Linked DNA regions of Cricetulus griseus. The protein of the gene in region 1 interacts with the protein of each later gene in a biochemical or structural test. Links are inferred from orthologs where the notes say so. Each region holds a gene or a part of one and is shown on either strand. Other genes may lie near its edges.

Region 1 (4,129 bases):
GAGTTTTATGTTCAGCACAGGCATGCAAGCACCAATGGAGACCAGAAGAGGGCAGGACCTCAGATCCTCAGCAGCTGGAGTTATAAGGAGGTGCCTGGTGAGGGTGCTGGGAATTGAACCCAGTCCCCTCTGTGAGAAGTGCTGTTAATTGATGAGCCATTTCTTAGCCCCATTTTCAGACTCTTTTGACATAGCGTAGGCTGGTCCCAAACTTGCAGCAGACCTCTTTCTTGCCCCAGCCTTCCAAGTGTTAGAATTACAAATGTTTGCTGTCTGTTTTCTTATTATCTATAATTTACAAATATTTTTCTTCTATTTTGTGGGCTGCCTTTTGCTCTCTTGATATCTTGGCTATTTTTATTTATCAAGTGAACTTTAAAAAAAAAATAAGAAATTTGGGCTAAAGAGGTGGCTCAGTGGCTAAGAACACTAGCTGGTCTTCCAGAGGTCCTGAGTTCAATTTCCAGCAACCACATGATGGCTCACAACCATCTGTAATGTGATCTGGTGTCCTCTTCCGTCCTGCAGGGATATATGCAGACAGAACACTGTATACATAATAAATAAATAAATCTTAAAAAAAAAAAAAGAATAAGAAGAAATTTCTGATTGCAACTGTCCTAACTGTAGTTCTGGGGGATCTGATGCCTCTCTTGATCTCCAAGGGTTCCTGCATGCACATAATGCTTGCTCTCTCTGGTTGGCTTTGAACTTTGGAGATCCACCTACCTCTGCCTCCCCAGTGCTGGGAATAAAGGTGTGTGCCATTTTAAGACAAAGTCTCTGTTGTAGTTCTGGAGCTCAAATAAAGAGAGGAGGCTGACCTTCAACTTAGAGATCCGACTTCTGGACTCTCCCTCCCATGTGATTGGATTAAAGGCATGCAGGACTACACCCTGCTTTAAGCAGTATTTTAAATAGGCGACTATTACCATATGCATCTCTACAAAACTGGGGGTTTCTTGTTCAAGATTTGTTGCTTAAAATGATTAAGACGGGAAATTTTGTGGGGGTTTAGTTGTTTGACACAGTTTCTCTGTGTAGCCCTTGAGGTCTTGGAATTCTCTGTAAACTAGGCTGGCCTTGGACTCAGATCCACCTGCCCCTGCCTCTGAGTACTTTGATTAAAAGTGTGCACCACCACTCCCAGTCACCTCTGTGTGTGTGTGTGTGTGTGTGTGTGTGTGTTTTGAAACACATAAAGGGCAGGTACTCTACAGACCAACACCACATTCAGGCCCCAAAGGAAATACTGAATGGCTTGTAATACTGGTATAGTGTTAAAGACTAGGGATCAGTTTGTAGCTCTTTGCACCCCCAGAATGGAAGGGGTCAACCAAAAATGACTGAACTAGATGGAACTGGCAATTGGAATCTATTTTTGGCTTGCTGCATACTAAGGACGGAGCATAAAATGAAGGAAATTAATAAACAGGTCAGAGAAAGTAATGCAAAGCCAAAGAACTCTGGAATTTGACCACACAATTCTTTGAGAAGTTAGACAACTCTAAAGGGGCGATTCTTTTTTTTTTTTTTTGCAATTTTAAAAACTCAATTCACAGCTGGTGAACACAACTTGAGCATTATTACAGGTGATAAAAAAAATTTGCCTTTGCCTTTAACCGATATGGGGGCGGGGTTCACAAAACCACAAATCCCCAAGGTCAATTTAGACTAGTTAGTCCTCTTTTTCTTTTCTTTCTCCCCCCCCCGTCCCCCCCCCCGATAGGGTTTCTATGTGTAGCCCTGGCTGTCCTGGAACTAGCGCTATAGACCAGGCTGGCCTTGAACTCAAGAGATACGCCTGCCTCTGCCTCTGCCTCCCAAGGATTAAAAGCGTGCGCCACCACCTCCCTCCTCCCCCACACACCTTTTTTCTTTAAATAGAAAAGTGATGGATACCTCTCTAAACCATTTTGGGCTTTTTTTCTTTTTAACCCCAAAACCATGTTGAATTTTACTCACTGATTTCCCTTGATTCCTGCCCAGAGGCTCTAAGCTTGCACTCCTTTGCATAGTGTTTTTGAATAATCTCCCACAGGTCTCTATTGACAAGAGAATTTCTTCGGGTATGATACCGAGTCCACGAAGAGACCCGGCGGCGACAGAAGGGACAGCACAGGTTGGCCTTTTCAACAGTTGACTGAAAGCACGGGTTACAGAGCGTGTGGTTGCAGGGAAGGGTTACCGGCTCGACTAGGATTTCCATACAGATGCCGCACTGACACTCTGCTAAGGAAGGGATGGCCTCTTTGGATGCCGCCATCTCCAGACGCTCACGAGGCCTACTCAACGTCAAGAGCTCAAAGAAACCAGCCTTTCGGCTAACCACGGTACGAAGGAAGCCGGCGAGCGGTTTGGTATTTACTCTGACACACAGGCAGCGTACTGGAATCCAGACAGGCTGACCTTCCCGAGGCTCGAGGCAAACAGGCGAGCAGTTATGCCCTGCGTCCAGCAAGGGAATGAACGAACGTTCCTTCGAGAGCGCAGCCGGCTCGGGTCGGTGAGTGGTTCCGGCTCCCCGCGGGGCGGACAGTCGGCTCCAGCTCCCCTCCTCACCTCAGCGGGTGAGCACCCGCCTCTTCGGGCGAGGCCGCCGGGACTGCCGGGTCCCGAAGCGGGGACCGCCGCTCCGAGAGCACCTCGTACCGCCCGGAGGTCGGGCTCGGGCCGCCGCTAGGCTTCCGTCTCGCCGTTGAGGCGGAGGCAGTGCTACAGTCCCCGCGCTACAGCTCCTGGTCGCCTCGCGGAGGGTCCCGAGACCCAGCCGCTCAGATCCGCTGCGCCGCCGGCCCATTCATTGGCGGCGGCAGGAGCAGGTACACACGTCCACAGACGTCACAATTCCCCGCCAAAACGGCCCTCCTTACCCAAGCACCCTCTCGATTGGGCGGGGCTTCCGGGAGCTGCGCGCGCGCGCAGTCGAGCCCTATCTGCTTGTCGCAGCTCCACCAGTCTAAGGTGGTTTCATCCGTGTAGGCTGTGAAAATTTTGGTTAGTCACTGGCTCAAAAGTGAACTCGCTAAGCAAGATCCAAGCAGTAATATTGATAATTATTCTCTCAGTACTCTTAGAACTACATTTTGTATCTCCTAACCAAAGTTTCCAAAGTTCTTAGGGCCAAAAGAAAAAAAAATTGCAACAAATTCAGCTAAAAAAATTTTTGCTTTGCCGGGCGTCGGTGGCACACGCCTTTAATCCCAGCACTCGGGAGGCAGAGGCAGGCGGATTTTACGCTCTCTTTCTGCTCTTTCCGGCTCTCCTCTCTGCTTTTCCTGCTCTCTCTTAGGTGATGGCTCTTCTGCTCTTCCGTTCTCCTCTCTTTCTGCTTTTCTGCCCTCCCTCTGTGTCTCTTTACTTCTTTTCTCTTTCCTTCCCCTTCCCTGCCCCCTCCCTTCCTTTTCTAATGAAACTTCTCACTTAAGCTCTATCTACCTGGCATGTTTGTCCCCCGCCTTGGTCACCCTTGCCAGCCATGGAATCTGCCACGGTCCCCCACGCAGGACCCCCTTTCAGCTTTATCCTAGCATTTGAAACAAAAGAACAATAGTGGCACTCACCTTTAATCCCAACACTTCAGAGGCAGACGCAGGAGGATCTCTGAGTTAGAGGCCAACCTGGTCTACACAGTGGGTACCAGTACTACTCAAAGAGACCTTTTTAAAAAACGAAAGAAAGAAAAGTATTTTGAGAGAGGTGTGGTCACATGTGTTTTGTAATCCCAACCTTTAGGTGATAAAGGTAGAGACAGAAGCAAGGGGATCTAAAGCTGAAGTCCAACTCAGGCAACATAGAGTTCCAGGTCTAACAGACTCTGGCTCAGCTCCCCTGTAAATCTGTTAGAAGGCTGATCTCAATGGAAAGTTGAAAGTTTGAGACAGAGAATCCTCGGACCTGTGACAATTTGACATTTACACTTATTTCTAATGTCACAACCCTGATGCCTGCAGCCCTCTTCTTTAAAGACTTAAGGTCCACAGCTTGGCAGAAAGTATCCAGACTCTATCTGTTGTTGAGATAATCTTTTAGTACACTGGGTGAATATGAGTCTCCTGTCTTCCTCATCTGGATAAGGCACCTTCTGAGTGGTTTAACTAGCTCTTGTAGACCAGGCTGGTCTCGAACT
Region 2 (4,227 bases), on another chromosome or scaffold:
CTGTTCTAGTCACATAGACCCCAGTATTGTATTAACCTGTTTGAAACAAAGTCTCATATATTCTAGACAGGCCTCAACCCCCTAAGCAGCCAGGGATGATAAACTTCTAAACCCTCCTTCCTCTATTACATTAGAATCATAAGTATAAAACACCATGACAGACAAGTGTGGTGGCACACATCTTTAATCCCAGCACTCGGGAGGCAGAGGCAGGTGGGTCTCTGTCAGTTCCAGGCCAGCCTGGTCTACAGACGAGTGCCAGGACAGGCTCCAAAGAGAAACCCTGTCTTGGGGGGAAAAAAAAAAGTAACACTTAAATACAATACCAAAACTGGTTTGTGTGCAGTATTAAGGGTAGAACTCAGAAAGCTTGCAAGCACCATATCTGAGCACTCTCTGGCCCAAAAGTTACTTTTCAAAATAAATTTTAATGTAAATACGTTTTCTGCTTGAGGTGTTGCTTGGTGGTAAAGCATTTGCAGAGCACATACAAAGTCCTAGCTAGTTTCAATTCAATCCCTAACAGTAGAAAAAGCATATTTTTAACTGATTATAGAACCTACATAATATAAAAATGGATCTAAAAATTATTCTAGGGGGTGTCAGTGGCACACACCTTTAATCCCAGCACTGGGGAGGAAGAGGCAGGAGGATCTCTGGGAGTTCCAGGCCAGCCTGGTCTACAGAGTGAGTTCCAGTACAACCTCCAAAGCTACACAGAGAAACCCTGCTTCGAAAACAAACAAAAAAATTATTCTAATCTCTTAACCTGCCCTATTGATGGGGGAAAAAAAAAAAATCCTTTAAAGCTATAAGTACTGAAGTCAATTAATATTACATAAATTAGAGGTGGGTGCAATAAAATACTGTAAAGATTGTATGTCTCAGCACGAGTTTACCACTACCTTGTTTTAAAATAGCAAAATGGCAACACTGAATATATGCTTAAGCATTGTGTACCAAATGAATTAAACAAGCTCCTCAACATCCTACTTTAAACCATTTCTGTAAATTTATAGCCAATATTCCACAGAATTTATTTTCCCAATCAAGACTTTTGTATTACTGCAGAATATTAATCTTCACAATCAAGCAAAAATCAAAAAAAAAAAAAAAAACTACACCAACTGTTAGGTTCAGTGTGAATTTTAGAGAATTATATTCATTATCAATCTGTGGTATGTTTAGTCCCTAACCAAACAATAAAAACCCGGTGGTCTGGTGGGAAGCAATCATTTTTCAAATGGAATCCTGATTAACATGATCACTAGTGTTCATGTCTCTGTATCAGAATTAAACGAGTCAGGACTTTCCAACGCACGACCTAACAATTAAAATCTACTTTGAAAGAATCTGAGATTCATAATATAGCAGTAAAAGTTTATGTCAAGACTACAGTGCTCGTTGACAATTTATTCTTTCTTCCTAAGAATGTCTTATAAATGGTCTTGTTTTCTAATTTAAGCACCTTTCTGTCATACACCCAACCTCACACCCATTTGTGACTGCCCGAGGGACTAGACAGTGCATCACATCCTTCAAAGGGGCCCTCGATATAATTAGTACAAATCTCGCCCAAAACTTCAGAAGAGTGAACAGTGCTGTAAATTCAAGCTCACTAGATTACAGCAAGCAAAACGAAGCTTCAATATGGGCATATCACTGGCATGGTGAGCAGTGTAGGGTTTTTTTTTTTTTAACTAAATATCCTTCATAAAAACAGATGCCTATCGTGTCTGAAGTCTCAACGCTGTTATGTAAAGACTTCAGAAAATCAAGATACGAGTTTTTTCATGGTTCCATACGTACTCACCAAAACACAGTATTCCTAAAGAGCCTCGAGACCGCTTAGTATACGGAAGGCGCACGAAAACAGAGGCGAACTATTACAGATCATCCCCATAACCGAGATGCTTTGGGCTGAACCAGTGCCTCGGAACAGAAAACAGTTGGCCAAAAAAATAAAGAAAGAAAAGAAAAAAGAGTTTGCCAACCGGAGTAAAATCACTTCGCGGAGATAACCGGCAGCAACGCGGGGAAGCGAACACGGCGGGCAGGACACCCACCCGGGCGCCAAGCCCCCGGCGCCGCCGACCGCGGGCAGCCAGGACGAACATGTGCGGTCGGCGGCTGGACTCGCGGCCCGCGGCCCCGCCCGGTTCTCGGGGCCGGTTCATTCATTCTGCACCCGAGACCGCCGACCAGGAGAAGGGGGCTCCGGGGCGAAGCGGCCAGCCCAGGCCACAACCCACGCCCGGAGTCCAGGCCACGCCGCGATTCCCGCCCGCGGGTGAAGAAAGCCTGGCGAGGCCCGCGCCGGTCCCGCGCCAGACGCCAAGCCCGCAGCCCCGCCCTCCACCCGGCACCGGCACCGGCCTGGCCTCCCGTGCCGCGCGCGGCCTCGCAGCCCGAGAGCCCCCGGCGTCCGGCTTTCAGCGGCGGCCGGAAGTCTCCTCGGCGCCCCCTCCTCAGCGCCCGACTTCCCCGCCGCCGAGGCCAGACCCTTCTCCGCGATGCCTCGGGCCCCTCAGCGGCTGCCGAGTGAAGCGTATGGCCGCGCGGCCCGGCGCGTTGGTGGAGGAGAGCCGAGCGGGAGGCCCGAAGCCCGCCTGGGCGGTTACCTTAATGATCCTGCGGGGCAGCCCGGCCATCTTGTCAGATCCCGAGTTCGGCCTCTGCTCTTGTCTCCGGCTCCGCTCGCCTCACGCACGAGTGGAAGTCCCGGACTCCACTTCCGGGGGACGTCGCCGCGCCCGCCGCCGCTGCCTCCGCCGAGGCCCCTCGGGAAATGTAGTCCCTGCTTGGACGCGGGCTTCGGGCGGCCTTCCGTCCGACCTGATGGCCCCCTCCCCCGCACTCCCCGCCCCAACCCCAGCCGGGGGTGGCGGAAGTGACGCTCCGCGGCGGGGCAGGGACTTGGGGGAGGCGGCGCCAGGCAGCGCCGAGCTGCTTCGCCCGCGGCAGAATCTGCGCGAGACTGGGTGTCCGGCGTCCACGAGTAGCGTACGTGCGACCGACCACGCCTGCGCCGGTGGGCGACGTAACAAAGGCCCGGCCCCCGGCGTAGCTCATTCATTCATTCGTTCCATTTGTTCATTCAATGTTCCCGCATTGCGCGGCGGGCTGACGCTGCGCCGCATCTCCGTCGACCTGGTGATCGGGGGGCTTGTTCCAAACGAGAAGCACTCGATGGCAAAGCTTCTAACTGGGAAACTGGTTGTCAAGGCCCTGACAAATAATTCTAAATGTTTTAATTTCACATAAAAAAAAAAGGGGGGGGGCCTCGCCTGGCGGTGTGGCGCACGCCTTTAATCCCAGCACTTAGGAGGCGGAGGCGGGAGGATCTCTGAGTTCGAGGTCAGCCTGGTCTAAAAAGCAAGTTGCAGGACAGGCTCCAAAGTTACACAGAGAAGCCCTGTCTTGATAAGCAAACAATCAACAAAAAAAGGGAGGGGGGCTCTCCGACCTGTCCCCCACCCCAAAAGGATTTGCAACAAGTAGGGGAGTAATCCCTAAAGGAGTAGGAGTACCTTCAGAGTGAAGGCCCTAAAAGTGGAGGGGTCCCAAAAGGGATTGTTGGGTGTTTTCATTTCTTTTCCTGTTGCTGTGATAAAATATCCTGTAGCACGAATAATAGTTGATATTGATAATAAAAACTCAGAGACAGATATTGAGGTTAAGGCTGAAGATCAGAAAAACAAAGTGGCCAGCCACTAGAGAGTTCTCACCTCTACCAAAGCTCAGAAGGAAGGGGAGATCCTTGTCCTCAGACTGCATTGCTCTCCACCAACCTCTAAATCCAAGCTTTCCTGTCTCCTTCTGCCTTATGATTCCTCTCTCTCCACCTCCCTACAGGTTTTCCTAGGGTGGTGGTGAACGCAGATCCATCTGCCTCTGTCTTCTGGGATTAAAGGTGTGTGCCACCAACTGTCTGGCCTGAATGGCTGTGGCTAGCTTTGCACTCTGATCTTCAAGCAAGCTTTATTAGATCATAAAATATCACCACAATACTCCACAAGGCAACTTAAAGGAAAAGGGGTTAATTTCAGTTCAAAGGGGATAATCACCATAGTTAAGGACAGCTGGTCACATCGAATTTTTCATGCTAGTGCTTACCTCTCTGTTTATACAGCCCAGGTGACAACCACAATTAAGATGGGTGTCCATACATCAATTAAGTCCCCCACAGGCATGCCCAGAGGCTTTTTTCCCTAGGTGTTTCTAGAT
Region 3 (4,053 bases), on another chromosome or scaffold:
ATGCTTGAGTTCCATCCCTGCAACCCATGTACAGGTGGAGAGAGGGAGAGCCCACTCCACAGGTTGTCATCTGATTTCCACAAAGTCTTCATGGCATGTGCACCTGCAACCACCCACACAATAATTTTTCTTATTTAAAGAGTTAAACATTAAGTACTGTAAATATGAAAGATTTAGATCATTATGGTCTCCAAGCAGCTAAGTGATGTACACAGGGATTGTCGACCTGCTAACTGCACGTCTAAGTGACTGGCATCAGGACAGGACCGTGTGTACGTACAGTCCTACTTTTTCTTTTTTAAGCCCGGCATTTGTAATTGATTACATGAACCATCTGTGGCTGCTTGTGAATCATGTTACAGTTACCCCACTGACATTTACCCAACATTTTTCATGTGGCAAAATGTTTAGTGTCGGAAAGCTGACACATAATAGCTTTGATGATTCAATAAATCAACTTTAGACACCAGGCTATAGGCGCATCCCCATTGATGTGGAGTCTCTCTCGGCAAAATTATGGCTGATGATTTCATTATAATAACGCTTCATCCTGAGCTTCCTGTGTGTAGACAAAATTATTTGTTATCACCAAGGTAACTTGACCCCCACGGTTGTTACGAGACAGGATGGGAGGGTGAGGGGGGCGGTCAAAAGAGGTGAGGACCGGAGCGGAGGAAGATGAAAAACAACCTCCGGCGGGGGTAAGAGACGGTCTCTCAGGGAAGTGCTTCAGCAAGTGCGGGCCGAGCCGAGCTCCTCTCACTGGAGGCCTTCGCGCCACCTGTCACAAAGGAGGGGCCCGCGGGGAACCGAGGTCTGCGGGGAGGGGGGGGGGACGGCCAGGCCGACCGGAGGACGCTGCGAGGCCCAGGCTGGACCGGGAGGCGAGCTCACGTGGTCTCCCGCACACCGCGGGAGGACGCCCGCGCGCCCGTCCCCAGCCTCTCAGCCCCGCCCTCCAGGCACGTGACCCCGCGTCCGCTCTCGCGCTCGCCCGCGCTCCCTCCTCGGTGGCGCAGGGCTCTGTGTCTGCCCTCCCGCCGCGGCGCCCTTCCCCTCCCGGTCCCGTCCCGCCGCCTCCCCCACTCTTCCCCCTCCCCACCCCTCGCGCGCCAATCACGGCTCGAGCTCGCGAGCGCCCGCCCCACCACCCTGCTTCGCGCCCTCCCATTGGCCGGAGCCTCAAGGACGCGTCCCGAAGGCGGGCGGCGACCATTGGTGGGCCGAGCCAGCCGAGTTCCCGGATGAGGGAACATTCTGCGGTATAAAGGGCGCGAGGAAGGCGGGAGACGGCGCAGTTTGAATCGCGGTACGACGGAGGAGTGGGCGCCGGGATCTCGCTGTGCGTCCGCCTGGCCTCGTCTCTTGCTCGCTTGTGCGATCTTCAGCACGGTCCGAGATGGTAACGTGAGAGTGACGGCGGGCCGCCGGGCGGGGGGCGGCGGCGGCCGCGAGCTGCGGGCTTGGAGCGGGCGGGGCCGCCGTCGCCGGGGCTTGGGCGAGGCGGCGGCGGCGGGCGGGAGCGTGCGGAGACGGGTCGGGGACGAGCGGAGGGAGGTGTTTGGTTGAGCTCGGAGCTCCGGGAGGGAGGCGACGGTTGGAGGGGGGCGCGCGCGGCGCAGCTGGGAGCCGGCGCGGGGCGCGCGCGGGGCGCGCGGCGGGGGTCGGCGGGCGGGCGGGGAGAGAGGGCGGGGGCGAGCGGCGGCCCGGAGACCCCGGCGGGCCGCGAGCGCGCGCCCGCCGCCCGCCCGCCCGCCTGCTCGCTCGCCCGCCTCCGGGACGCGCGGCCGTGGGGGAGGGGCGCGCCGCTCCGCGCCGCCTTGGTAATTCTATCCTCTCCGTCCCTCCCGGGCTCGCGGGCGTCGGCGGCGCCGCAGGCTGGCGGTAAGGCTGGAAAGGACTCCGGAAAGGCCAAGACAAAGGCGGTTTCCCGCTCGCAGAGAGCCGGCTTGCAGGTAGGCAGCTGCTGCCGCAGACGCAGCCCGGGTGACCCGGCCTTTATCTTTGCACCCCCTGGCTTGTTTGTCGGCGCCTCGCATGGGTGTTCCATCTTTTGCGTGGGTGATGTGTCGCGACTTGGCCTTCGGAGACTGAATGTTGGGGCGGCGGGGGCTGGTGGGGGGGGCGTCGATCGCGTGTGCTAACTGCCCGGGCGCCTTGGTGCACCACCGTCCTTGGCTTTGGCGCGCGCGCGCATCATCTTTCCATCTCTGAATCTCCTCTATCTTTGTGCATTTTTGTTTGTGTGCATAAAAAAAAATCAAGTTCCCTGTGGGCCGTATTCATCGACACCTGAAATCTAGGACAACCAGCCACGGCCGTGTGGGCGCGACCGCCGCTGTGTATAGCGCAGCCATCCTGGAGTACCTCACCGCAGAGGTAAGCGGGAGTGAGTATGCCTGTGATCTGGAAAAGGTTTGGGGGGCGGGGGGGGGAAAGTGGGCGAGAGGGAAGGAGGAAAGTGATGCAAGAAAACTCCCAGGCCCTAAGCGCGGCGCTTAGGCAGAGAGAGGGCGCTAGAGGGAGCTAGTGTTCAGCCAAGGATCCCGCTGAGCCAGAGTTTGCTGCTGTTGCAAAAGCAATTGCGTGCCCCTTCAGTCCTTTGCATCATTTGCATAGTTTTGTCATTCAGGTAGTGGGGGGATGACGACAGTTGGTGGGTTAAACACCACTGACGTTTAGCCAGCTTCCTGGATCTTGACTGAAGGGAATTGGAAAATTGATCAGAATTTTGCCTTTTAGGTACTAGAATTGGCAGGAAATGCATCAAAAGACTTAAAGGTAAAGCGTATTACCCCTCGTCACTTGCAACTTGCTATTCGCGGGGATGAAGAATTGGACTCTCTGATCAAGGCTACAATTGCTGGTGGTGGTATGTTATCACTGACACTCGGTTACTTTCCAATAAGAAAATTCCTACATTTTCATTGCTTCCAGAAGAGGGCATTTAAATATATTTTATAAATCATGGTGGTTTATGGAATTTGGTTTACACAACATCATTCATCATTTTACTTTATGTTTGAATTTTTTTTTAAGACCTTTCAAGTTGTAGATTTACCTGCTTTGATTTCATGTACTGTTTCAAAATGTTTCTACAAAAAGTAGAATTAATCCTTGTCACTTTCCTAGGTGTCATCCCACACATCCACAAATCTCTGATTGGAAAGAAAGGACAACAGAAGACTGTCTAAGGATGCCTGGATTCCTTATTATCTCAGGACTCTAAATATTCTTAACAGCTGTCCAGTGTCGGTGATTCCAGTGGACTGTATCTCTGTGAAAAACACAATTTTGCCTTTTTGTAATTCTATTTGAGCAAGTTGGAGGCTTAATTAGCCTTCCAGCCAACCAAATTTCTGCATTCGAGTCTTAACCATATTTAAGTGTTACTGTGGCTTCAAAGAAGCTATTGATTCTGAAGTAGTGGGTTTTGATTGAGTTGACTGTTTTTAAAAAACTGTTTGGATTTTAATTGTGATGCAGAAGTTATAGTAACAAACATTTGGTTTTGTACAGACATTATTTCCACTCTGGTGGATAAGCTCAATAAAGGTCATATCCCAAACTAGTTTTAAACTTGCTTGATGATTACTACTAGATCTCATTCAGCTCCCCTACCTTCTTTGCTTACTAATCAAACACTTCATCTGTAGACCAACAAGTCATAACCAATTTGTCATAATGAACTAGGCATGCTGTTGGACATTCACAGTAACTGTGAAAGGCACTGTATCACAATTTGGGACAGCTGGACCGGTAGAGACCCCCAGGTATAACATAATAACCTCCACAGAATGAACTTAAGATGTAGAAGTTAAATCATTCTCAGTGACCAGACACTGTTGTCAACTGTGAAATGCTAGTCACAGGGGATGCGTGCTATTTTCATAGACTAGGGTAACATGATGAAAACATTGATACATATCAGGCATGTTCCTTAAGAGCTTGAGAAAACGCATCTGCCCCTTTCACCCTACCGAGACAACATGCGTGCTCCTTTCTGAGGCAAAAATTGGTAACAGGAGGTGGTATGCATGCAACCTCTGCAGA
Region 4 (3,998 bases), on another chromosome or scaffold:
ATTAAACACGCATGGCCCACACAGCAGGAGCCTGCAACTCCCAGGCCACAGAGCTCTTCCTTGTCCTAGACAACTCAGATTCCTGACCCTTTCTTAGAGGGAAGATCTATAAAAAGCACCTGGATTCAGGTAGTGCCCTAGGGCAGCTCGTACCTTTAATGTAGATGCGGAAGATGTCATCTTTCACATAGGACATGGCCATTGTCAGTTCCTCATCACTGGAAAAGGCAACCAAGTCCCCATCCTCATCTACATTGTTAAAAGACAATATATCAGAGCCAGCCAGGGACACAGCTCAGGGATGAAACACTAGCATGCAAGTCTTAGACTCCATTCCCAGTACTAGAAGGAAAATAAAGGCAGCAGAGGCATCCAGACCTCTATGCTGGGTACACACTGCTACAATGTACAAAGCCCACTGCTAAAGGAATGTTTTCAGAGACTCTAGACTCAGCCTGGATACTGGGGCACAAAGCAGTATGGCCATTCACTCTGACACAAACTGGATGAATACATGCTCCAAGCTAGGTCCTAGATTACAGTTGTACACAGAAGGCTGAGCACATCTGTATGGGGGTGCCCATCCTCCGCCAAAACAGGAGTGTTGATCTCTAGGAGCCGTAATTACAAGTAGTTGTGAGGTGTCAAGTATGAGTGCTGGGAACAGAACTTGGGTCCTCTGGAAGAGCAGCAAGTGCTTTAACCATTGAGACATCTCAGCGGGGCATTGGTGGCACATGCCTTTAATCCCAGCACTCGGGAGGCAGAGGCAGGTGGTGGATCCCTGTAAGTTCAAGGCCAGCCTGGTCTACAGAGAAAGTTCCAGGACAGCCTCTCCAGAAAATTCAGAGAAACCCAGTCTCAAAAAAACAAAACAAAACAAAACAAAACAAAAAGAACCATTGAGACATTTCTCAAACCCCTCTGGGATTTACAGCCAAGCATGTATGTTTATAAGTTAATACAAATAGTCTTCAAGCACCTCATCACACATCTGCAGGCTGGGCTAAGCCTGTGGGCAACCACTCAGCCAGCAATAGCTACCATATATGAGAGAGGAGACCTCAAAAGTTACCAACAGCCCAGTGCCCACCAACTAAAGACCAGATAAACAAAACATGACATATCCAAACAAATTATTCTTCATCCACCAAAAGAAACGAAGTACCACCCAGGGATGAAGCAAAGAAGTGGAGTCCTTGGCTAGCAAACAAAGCCCTGGGTTCAGGCCCCAGTACTGGATGGGGGGGTGGGGATACTGGTGAGAGCTACAATACAAATGGTGGGCCTCCGACATATTAATAAGTGAATGAACAAATCTACCTTGTTAAGACTCCATTTTATACCAGGCAGTGGTGGTGCACACCTTTAGTCCTCAGACTCAGGAGGCAGAGGCAGGTGGATCTCTGTAAGTTCAAAGCCAGTCTGGTCTACAGAACGAGTTCCAGGACAGTCAGGGTTATACAGAAAAACCCTATCTTGAAAAACCAAAATAAATAAAGATAAAAATTTATAAAACAAGAGATTCTAAATTGAACATGATAGTGATTACATAATTCAGTTAGAAAAAATACAAGGATCTGGGGAGGGAATTCAGTTAATAGAGTGCTGGCCTGGCAGGCATGAGGCCCTGGACTGGATCCCTAGCAAAATATAAAGCAGAGAGGACTCTGAAGGACACTTTAGGGATACAGGCCAGCCCAGACACACAGTGAGACCCGTCTCTGCTAATACAAAACAGCAATCTTTTTTTGTTTGTTTTGTTTTTCAAGACGGTTTCTCTGTAGCTTTGGAGGCTGCCCTAGAACTCACTCTGTAGACCAGGCTGGCCTCAAACTCAGAGATCCGCCTGTCTCTGCCTCCCCGGTGTTGGGATTAAAGGCATACGCCACCAGCTCCTGGCCTCTACACACTTTTACCGGGTGAATTACATAATAACTCAATACACGGAAAATTTTCTGGCCCGGAGTGGTGATGAACACCTGTGATCCCTGTACTGGGAAACAAGACAAGAGGATTAAAGTTGAGTGAGGCCACCCTAAACCACTTGGGAGTTCAAGGCCAATCAGGCTACGTGGCTTTACCTTAAAAAAAAAAAAAAAAAAAAAAAAAAAGACTGACGGACTAACAGTCCTCCACAAGATCATCCCATAGGGAGGGCCTTGGCCACGTCTCTCTTGTCAACAATTTCTAGCCCCACCCCATGCAGTCTCCAGCCACTCCAACGCCGAGACTGAGCTAGTTCCGGGGTCCCCGACCTCCCCTCCCACAGACCGCTCCACCCCGCCCCCGTCGCTTGTTTACCCGCGTCACTGCTCTCCACCCCTCCTCCACGTCTGTCAGTCCCTGTTTTTTCCGGGGCTTTAACTGAACCCACCACTCGGCATTACTGCCAACAAGCGACCGGCAGGATGTCAGCCGTCACCTGAGCGGCCGCCTGACCACCCAGTCCCCGCGGGGAGGCAGAGGACGCCCTGCCACGTCCTCGTCCAGACCTGCCACACCGTGGCGGAGGACCCCGGCTTCCCCACCCCGGCGGCCCCGGCACAGGCCCCTCACCGCGGTAGTGCGCCTGGAAGCCCCCAGGCCGCAGGGCGGGGAACAGCGAGGCCACCCGACACAGCAGCCTCTCGCACGGCCCAGGACCCGCCGCGGCCTCGGCCTCCGCCTCCGGCTCCGGGCTAAAGCAGAAGCTGAAGCGGCGGATCTCTCGGGCCGCCTCCTCCTTGCCCAGAAGATAGGCCTTCACGGTGAGCGACGCCATAACTGCAGACTAGGTACGGGGAAACAGCTGGGCAGCTGCTGCGGCTGAGGCGAGCCCAGCGTTTATAAAAAGAAACGGAGCCCCGCCTCATATGGGCGGGGCCTCTCTGCGCCCCGCCCCTCCCAGCTGGTTAGTCTGCGGCACGCGAGCCCCCCTGACAGGGTCCCTATCAGGTATAGGAGGGGCGCTCTTACTGCCAACTCCTTTTTCTCCCTTCCAAGACAAGGGTGACCCCCAAGAGACCAGCCTCAGCCTCCACTTGTTGAGGAAAAGTCTGGTAAGGGTCCTAGCCTAGGCGCGTCCCAGGCTTGGGCCTGCCTATGACTCAGCAGTGTAGTCCCCAAGCTGAGGGGGGATGCCCAGCACAGAAACGAGAAGGACTCAGATGCTTACTGTCAGGAGGCCAAACAAGCTGGTTCAAAGGATGTTGTTCCGACCCTCTCAAGCTTAGTGTCCCGGGTAGTAGCGCCCCTCCCCTACCCCCCTTACCCCTACATCCACCATGACCAGCCCTTAACTGGATAAAGGCACATCACCCCCCATCTTAGGCCTGACCCAATTTAACAAGGATCAGGTTGGGAGGTATTGGACAAGCACTGGAGCGACTTCCCACAAACCCACCCTGTAGGAGGGTAGCCAGGACTCCTGAAGCATCAATGGTGACCACCCGTGTCCCCTCCCCCCCCACTCACATACTGGGGCTCTAATCAGGGGGTGGGGTGGGCATATCTCAGGCCTTATTGGCCTCATAGACAGCCAAAGGTGTTAGACCACCTGCACTCCAGCTAGAAATCAAAATGTGAGCCTTAGCCAGTCCTGTGCCATGGGCTTGTAATCCCAGCTGTTTGAGGTGTTGAGGCAGGAAGATACCAAGTTCAAGGTCTGCCTGAGCAAATTGGTGAAATGCTCTCCAAATAGAAAGTGATCCTAGCACTTGGGAGGTAGAGCCAACAGGAGTTCAAAGCCAGCCTTGGCTATATGAGGCCGCTTCTCAATAAAGTAAAATAAAAGGCTGGGTTTGGAGTTGAGTAAAGATACAATTCATGGGGATTTAGCTTAGTAGGGATACACCTCAGAGGGATTAGTGCATAAGGACATAGCTCGGTGCCTAATAGTGCTTTTAAATTCTCCCCTCAGTACCAAAGCCAAAACCAGGAGGTGCTTTGTGTGGCAAAAGTGACCTGTTAGCTGGGCATGATGACACACATCTGTAACCCCAGCCCTTGGAAAGCTG
Region 5 (3,169 bases), about 99 Mb from region 1:
GTTGAGACTTCCAGAGACACGAATCACCTTGGGGCCTTGATGACTGCGCCTTTCCTCCTCAGTAGTTAGGGCTTCATCTCTTTAGAAAAAGTCAGTGCCAATCTCGAATGTAACCAATGCCACTAATATTAAACCAGCTCTCAATGTGGTTGTTTTGGTGGAATTGGGGAAAATATAAATAAACCCAAAGCCCTTTTAAACCTGAATTCTGAGTCTGGGACTTCTCTGTTGAAATACTTTCTAATTGCCTCATGTTCTCAGAATGCATCCCAGGAAGCACCGAGCAAAGAGAAAACTGCCTCAATTCCTACAGCCTGCCTGTTTTCAGTTAACAGAACCTACTTGTATTACAGTCTTGCCCATCCCCACTGCTCTAAGGGAACTTACAATTCCACTCCCACCTCCCAACACAACACATGCCAGGTACATGGCTCTACCACGGAGCTATAGAACCCCAACCCCGGGCCTACAGCAATTCGAAATTAATCAAGACACTCCATCTTTTAAAAAAACAGAACAACCATTTAATAAAATTAGCCCATTGAAACTCCCCACTACCTAAGGTTCTAAACTTGGGATAGCTGCAAAATTCCAGTTCAGAAGCCAGTAGAGGCTCAGTCCAGATAGGGATTCACCGACTTGTGCTGGTATCTAGGTGTTTGGGTTGTGAATTGAGTCGCTGGGAAGAAAAGGGGATAGCTAGGCCCGGCTGCCAGTCTCCTGCGGCAAGAACACAGCTCTTCTGTCCACAGGCCTGTAAGCTTCTCCCAAACCCTTTCCAGGAGGCATCCTGGAGAAAACCAGCTCATATTACAGTGATTTTGTCCCGGCCACACCACACACCGGCCGATGAACGAAGATGGGGTAAACTGGTATGAGGCCAACGAAGGGGAAAACACAGGACCAAACAATATGATCCATTTCTCTTCACCAAAGCCTGGTAATCAAGTCACTTCTGGAAGGTCCAGGCGAGGGCTAAAGCACCAAGCTGAAGAAAGGACGCCCGGGTTGCAGCTGCAGAGTAACTCACCTTCAGGCCCACCTCAGCCGTACGTCACAGCAAAAGGCCGACACTTCTGGAAGGTGTCGCAACCTCTCCGCGCGGCCCATCGAGACGGAGACCGGCGAAGCTCCGCGATGGATAAGTACCGCGGCGCCTGACCCGGAGGCCGTGCAGGGAAGGGGAGGCAGAAACGCGCGATGGCAGAGAAAGGGGAAGAGAATGGGAACGCGGCGGCCCGGCCCGCAGCCCTAAGTGGCTCAGCTCTTTCCGTGAGGGAGGTGGTGGCCCTTAAAAGGGCCTTTGTGGAGGTGTGGGGAGGGCTGGGCGGCCAGGGCGCGGGCTCCCTCAGTACTCCTGAGAGGCCTGGGTGGCCTTCTTGCCGCTCGCCGGCGCCTTGGGCCCCACGGTGGCGCTCGTCTTCTTGGGCAGCAGCACGGCCTGGATGTTGGGCAGGACGCCGCCCTGAGCGATCGTCACGCCGCCCAGAAGCTTGTTGAGCTCCTCGTCGTTGCGGATGGCCAGCTGCAGGTGGCGCGGGATGATGCGCGTCTTCTTGTTGTCCCGCGCCGCGTTGCCCGCCAGCTCCAGAATCTCAGCGGTGAGGTACTCGAGCACGGCCGCCAAGTACACCGGGGCGCCGGCTCCCACGCGCTCGGCATAGTGGCCTTTCCTCAGCAGCCGATGCACGCGGCCTACCGGGAATTGTAGACCGGCGCGCGAGGAGCGCGATTTCGCCTTGGCGCGGGCCTTGCCTCCGGTTTTACCGCGACCCGACATCGTATACGAGGTAGAAAGCAGAGAGCAACACCGACGACGAAAGAAAACTGCCAACCGCCGCAGTCAACTGTCGCCGCGCGCGGGCGAGCTCGCCCTTATAAACTCCATGGACACGCCCCCGCCTCCCCCTGATTGGCTCTTTTCCCCAGTACCGGCCTCTGGTTGGTTGGAATTAACCCTTCGGTGACGCGCCTAGGCGAAAAGAGCTCGCCCAGCGATTGGTCCAATTTGAAAACCTTTTACCCGGGGAAGAAAGCAAGGCGGAGTGGCCGCAAACAGCAGGCTAATCATCCATGGAAGTGGCCAATCCTTATTAAGCGCGCGAAATTTAAACGCTATTGCGCGCCACCAGAACCGGAAGACTAGGAAGGTGGAGTCTGGAGGCGCATGACTGTCTCTGGGAAATCTGGGCCGGCCAAGGGTTTTAAAGTAAAAGGGTTAGCCGAGCGATAGTGGTGCACACCTTTAATTCAAGCACTCAGGAAGCGGAGGAAGGGGGAGCTCTGAGTTCAAGCTTAGCCTGGTAACAAAGCGAGTTCCAGGACAGCCAGGGTTACAAGGGGAAACCCTGTTTCGAAAAACATTTTAACAAAAGTTAAAAAGGGAAAGAGTTCTCCTTCCAGGTCAGGGGCACTCCCACGCCCTCCTCAAATTTGGCAAAGGGAGGGTTTAAAGGAGAAGAAATGAAACCTGAGAGTACAATCCTATGCCAGAAAACTGAGTGCTGTGATCCTTTGTGCTACGACAAGTTAGTATTTTAATATTTATTCAACATGTTCTGTCTGGTTTCAGTTCTGTCACTTCTTGCAGGAAGGGGTCTGATGGAACAGAGGTAGGTATTCTCTTGGAAAGGGTACCCACCCCAACCCTTCCAATCGATCCTAAAATGCCCATACGAAAGATAAATAGGGGATAGATGTATAGATTTATTCAGTGGTAGAGCACTTAACAAAGTTCAGTCCTCAGGCCGGATGTTGGTTGCACAAGCCTTGTATCCCAGCACTGGGAGACAGAGGCAGGTGGATCTCTGTGAGTTCGAGGCCAGCCTGGTCTCCAGAGCGAGTGCCAGGATAGGCTCCAAAGCTATACAGAGAAACCCTGTCTCGAAAAACCAAAAAAAAAAAAAAAAAAAAAAAAAAGAGTTCAGTCCTCAAGTATCTCAAAGGCTAGAAAAAGAGGTTGAGGGAGAGAAGCAAGTAAAAGACAATCCTTTATTGTCACCATTTTGAGCACATGGCCCTGCCTCTGATCTTCCTAATCAGAACACTTAATTTTAAAGTCAAATGTGAGGTTACCTTGGAGTATAGGGCCCTAACTCTAGCACATAGCCCAGGTTCTCTCTCAAGGTCCAGCAAATGCAGGGCTCTGAAAGTTGAGCTGTATTTGCAT

What was found.
Region 2: the proteins of Rnf168 (region 1) and Ube2n form a complex in vitro, tested with the Homo sapiens proteins (2 studies listed by BioGRID). The link is inferred for Cricetulus griseus from reciprocal best matches to the Homo sapiens genes RNF168 and UBE2N.
Region 3: of the proteins of Rnf168 (region 1) and histone H2A.Z, one has a biochemical effect on the other in vitro, tested with the Homo sapiens proteins (3 studies listed by BioGRID, with this or other methods). The link is inferred for Cricetulus griseus from reciprocal best matches to the Homo sapiens genes RNF168 and H2AZ1.
Region 4: the proteins of Rnf168 (region 1) and Sqstm1 form a complex in vitro, tested with the Homo sapiens proteins (2 studies listed by BioGRID). The link is inferred for Cricetulus griseus from reciprocal best matches to the Homo sapiens genes RNF168 and SQSTM1.
Region 5: of the proteins of Rnf168 (region 1) and histone H2AX, one has a biochemical effect on the other in vitro, tested with the Homo sapiens proteins (2 studies listed by BioGRID). The link is inferred for Cricetulus griseus from reciprocal best matches to the Homo sapiens genes RNF168 and H2AX.

What each region holds. Positions count from the first base shown.
Region 1 is NC_048597.1:57,245,463-57,249,591, forward strand, and holds the start of Rnf168 (E3 ubiquitin-protein ligase RNF168), read right to left. Parts: upstream 2,801-4,129; coding exon 2,653-2,800; intron 2,563-2,652; coding exon 1,966-2,562; intron 1-1,965. UniProt on the Homo sapiens protein: E3 ubiquitin-protein ligase required for accumulation of repair proteins to sites of DNA damage. Acts with UBE2N/UBC13 to amplify the RNF8-dependent histone ubiquitination.
Region 2 is NW_023276806.1:161,500,790-161,505,016, reverse strand, and holds the start of Ube2n (ubiquitin-conjugating enzyme E2 N), read right to left. Parts: upstream 2,810-4,227; 5' UTR 2,652-2,809; coding exon 2,622-2,651; intron 1-2,621. UniProt on the Homo sapiens protein: The UBE2V1-UBE2N and UBE2V2-UBE2N heterodimers catalyze the synthesis of non-canonical 'Lys-63'-linked polyubiquitin chains. This type of polyubiquitination does not lead to protein degradation by the proteasome.
Region 3 is NW_023276806.1:21,775,359-21,779,411, reverse strand, and holds histone H2A.Z, read left to right. Parts: upstream 1-1,245; 5' UTR 1,246-1,399; coding exon 1,400-1,402; intron 1,403-1,877; coding exon 1,878-1,955; intron 1,956-2,265; coding exon 2,266-2,379; intron 2,380-2,742; coding exon 2,743-2,872; intron 2,873-3,132; coding exon 3,133-3,194; 3' UTR 3,195-3,572; downstream 3,573-4,053. UniProt on the Homo sapiens protein: Variant histone H2A which replaces conventional H2A in a subset of nucleosomes. Nucleosomes wrap and compact DNA into chromatin, limiting DNA accessibility to the cellular machineries which require DNA as a template.
Region 4 is NC_048600.1:64,667,242-64,671,239, forward strand, and holds the start of Sqstm1 (sequestosome-1), read right to left. Parts: upstream 2,813-3,998; 5' UTR 2,765-2,812; coding exon 2,560-2,764; intron 250-2,559; coding exon 154-249; intron 1-153. UniProt on the Homo sapiens protein: Molecular adapter required for selective macroautophagy (aggrephagy) by acting as a bridge between polyubiquitinated proteins and autophagosomes.
Region 5 is NC_048597.1:156,021,595-156,024,763, reverse strand, and holds histone H2AX, read right to left. Parts: upstream 1,862-3,169; 5' UTR 1,781-1,861; coding exon 1,349-1,780; 3' UTR 506-1,348; downstream 1-505. UniProt on the Homo sapiens protein: Variant histone H2A which replaces conventional H2A in a subset of nucleosomes. Nucleosomes wrap and compact DNA into chromatin, limiting DNA accessibility to the cellular machineries which require DNA as a template.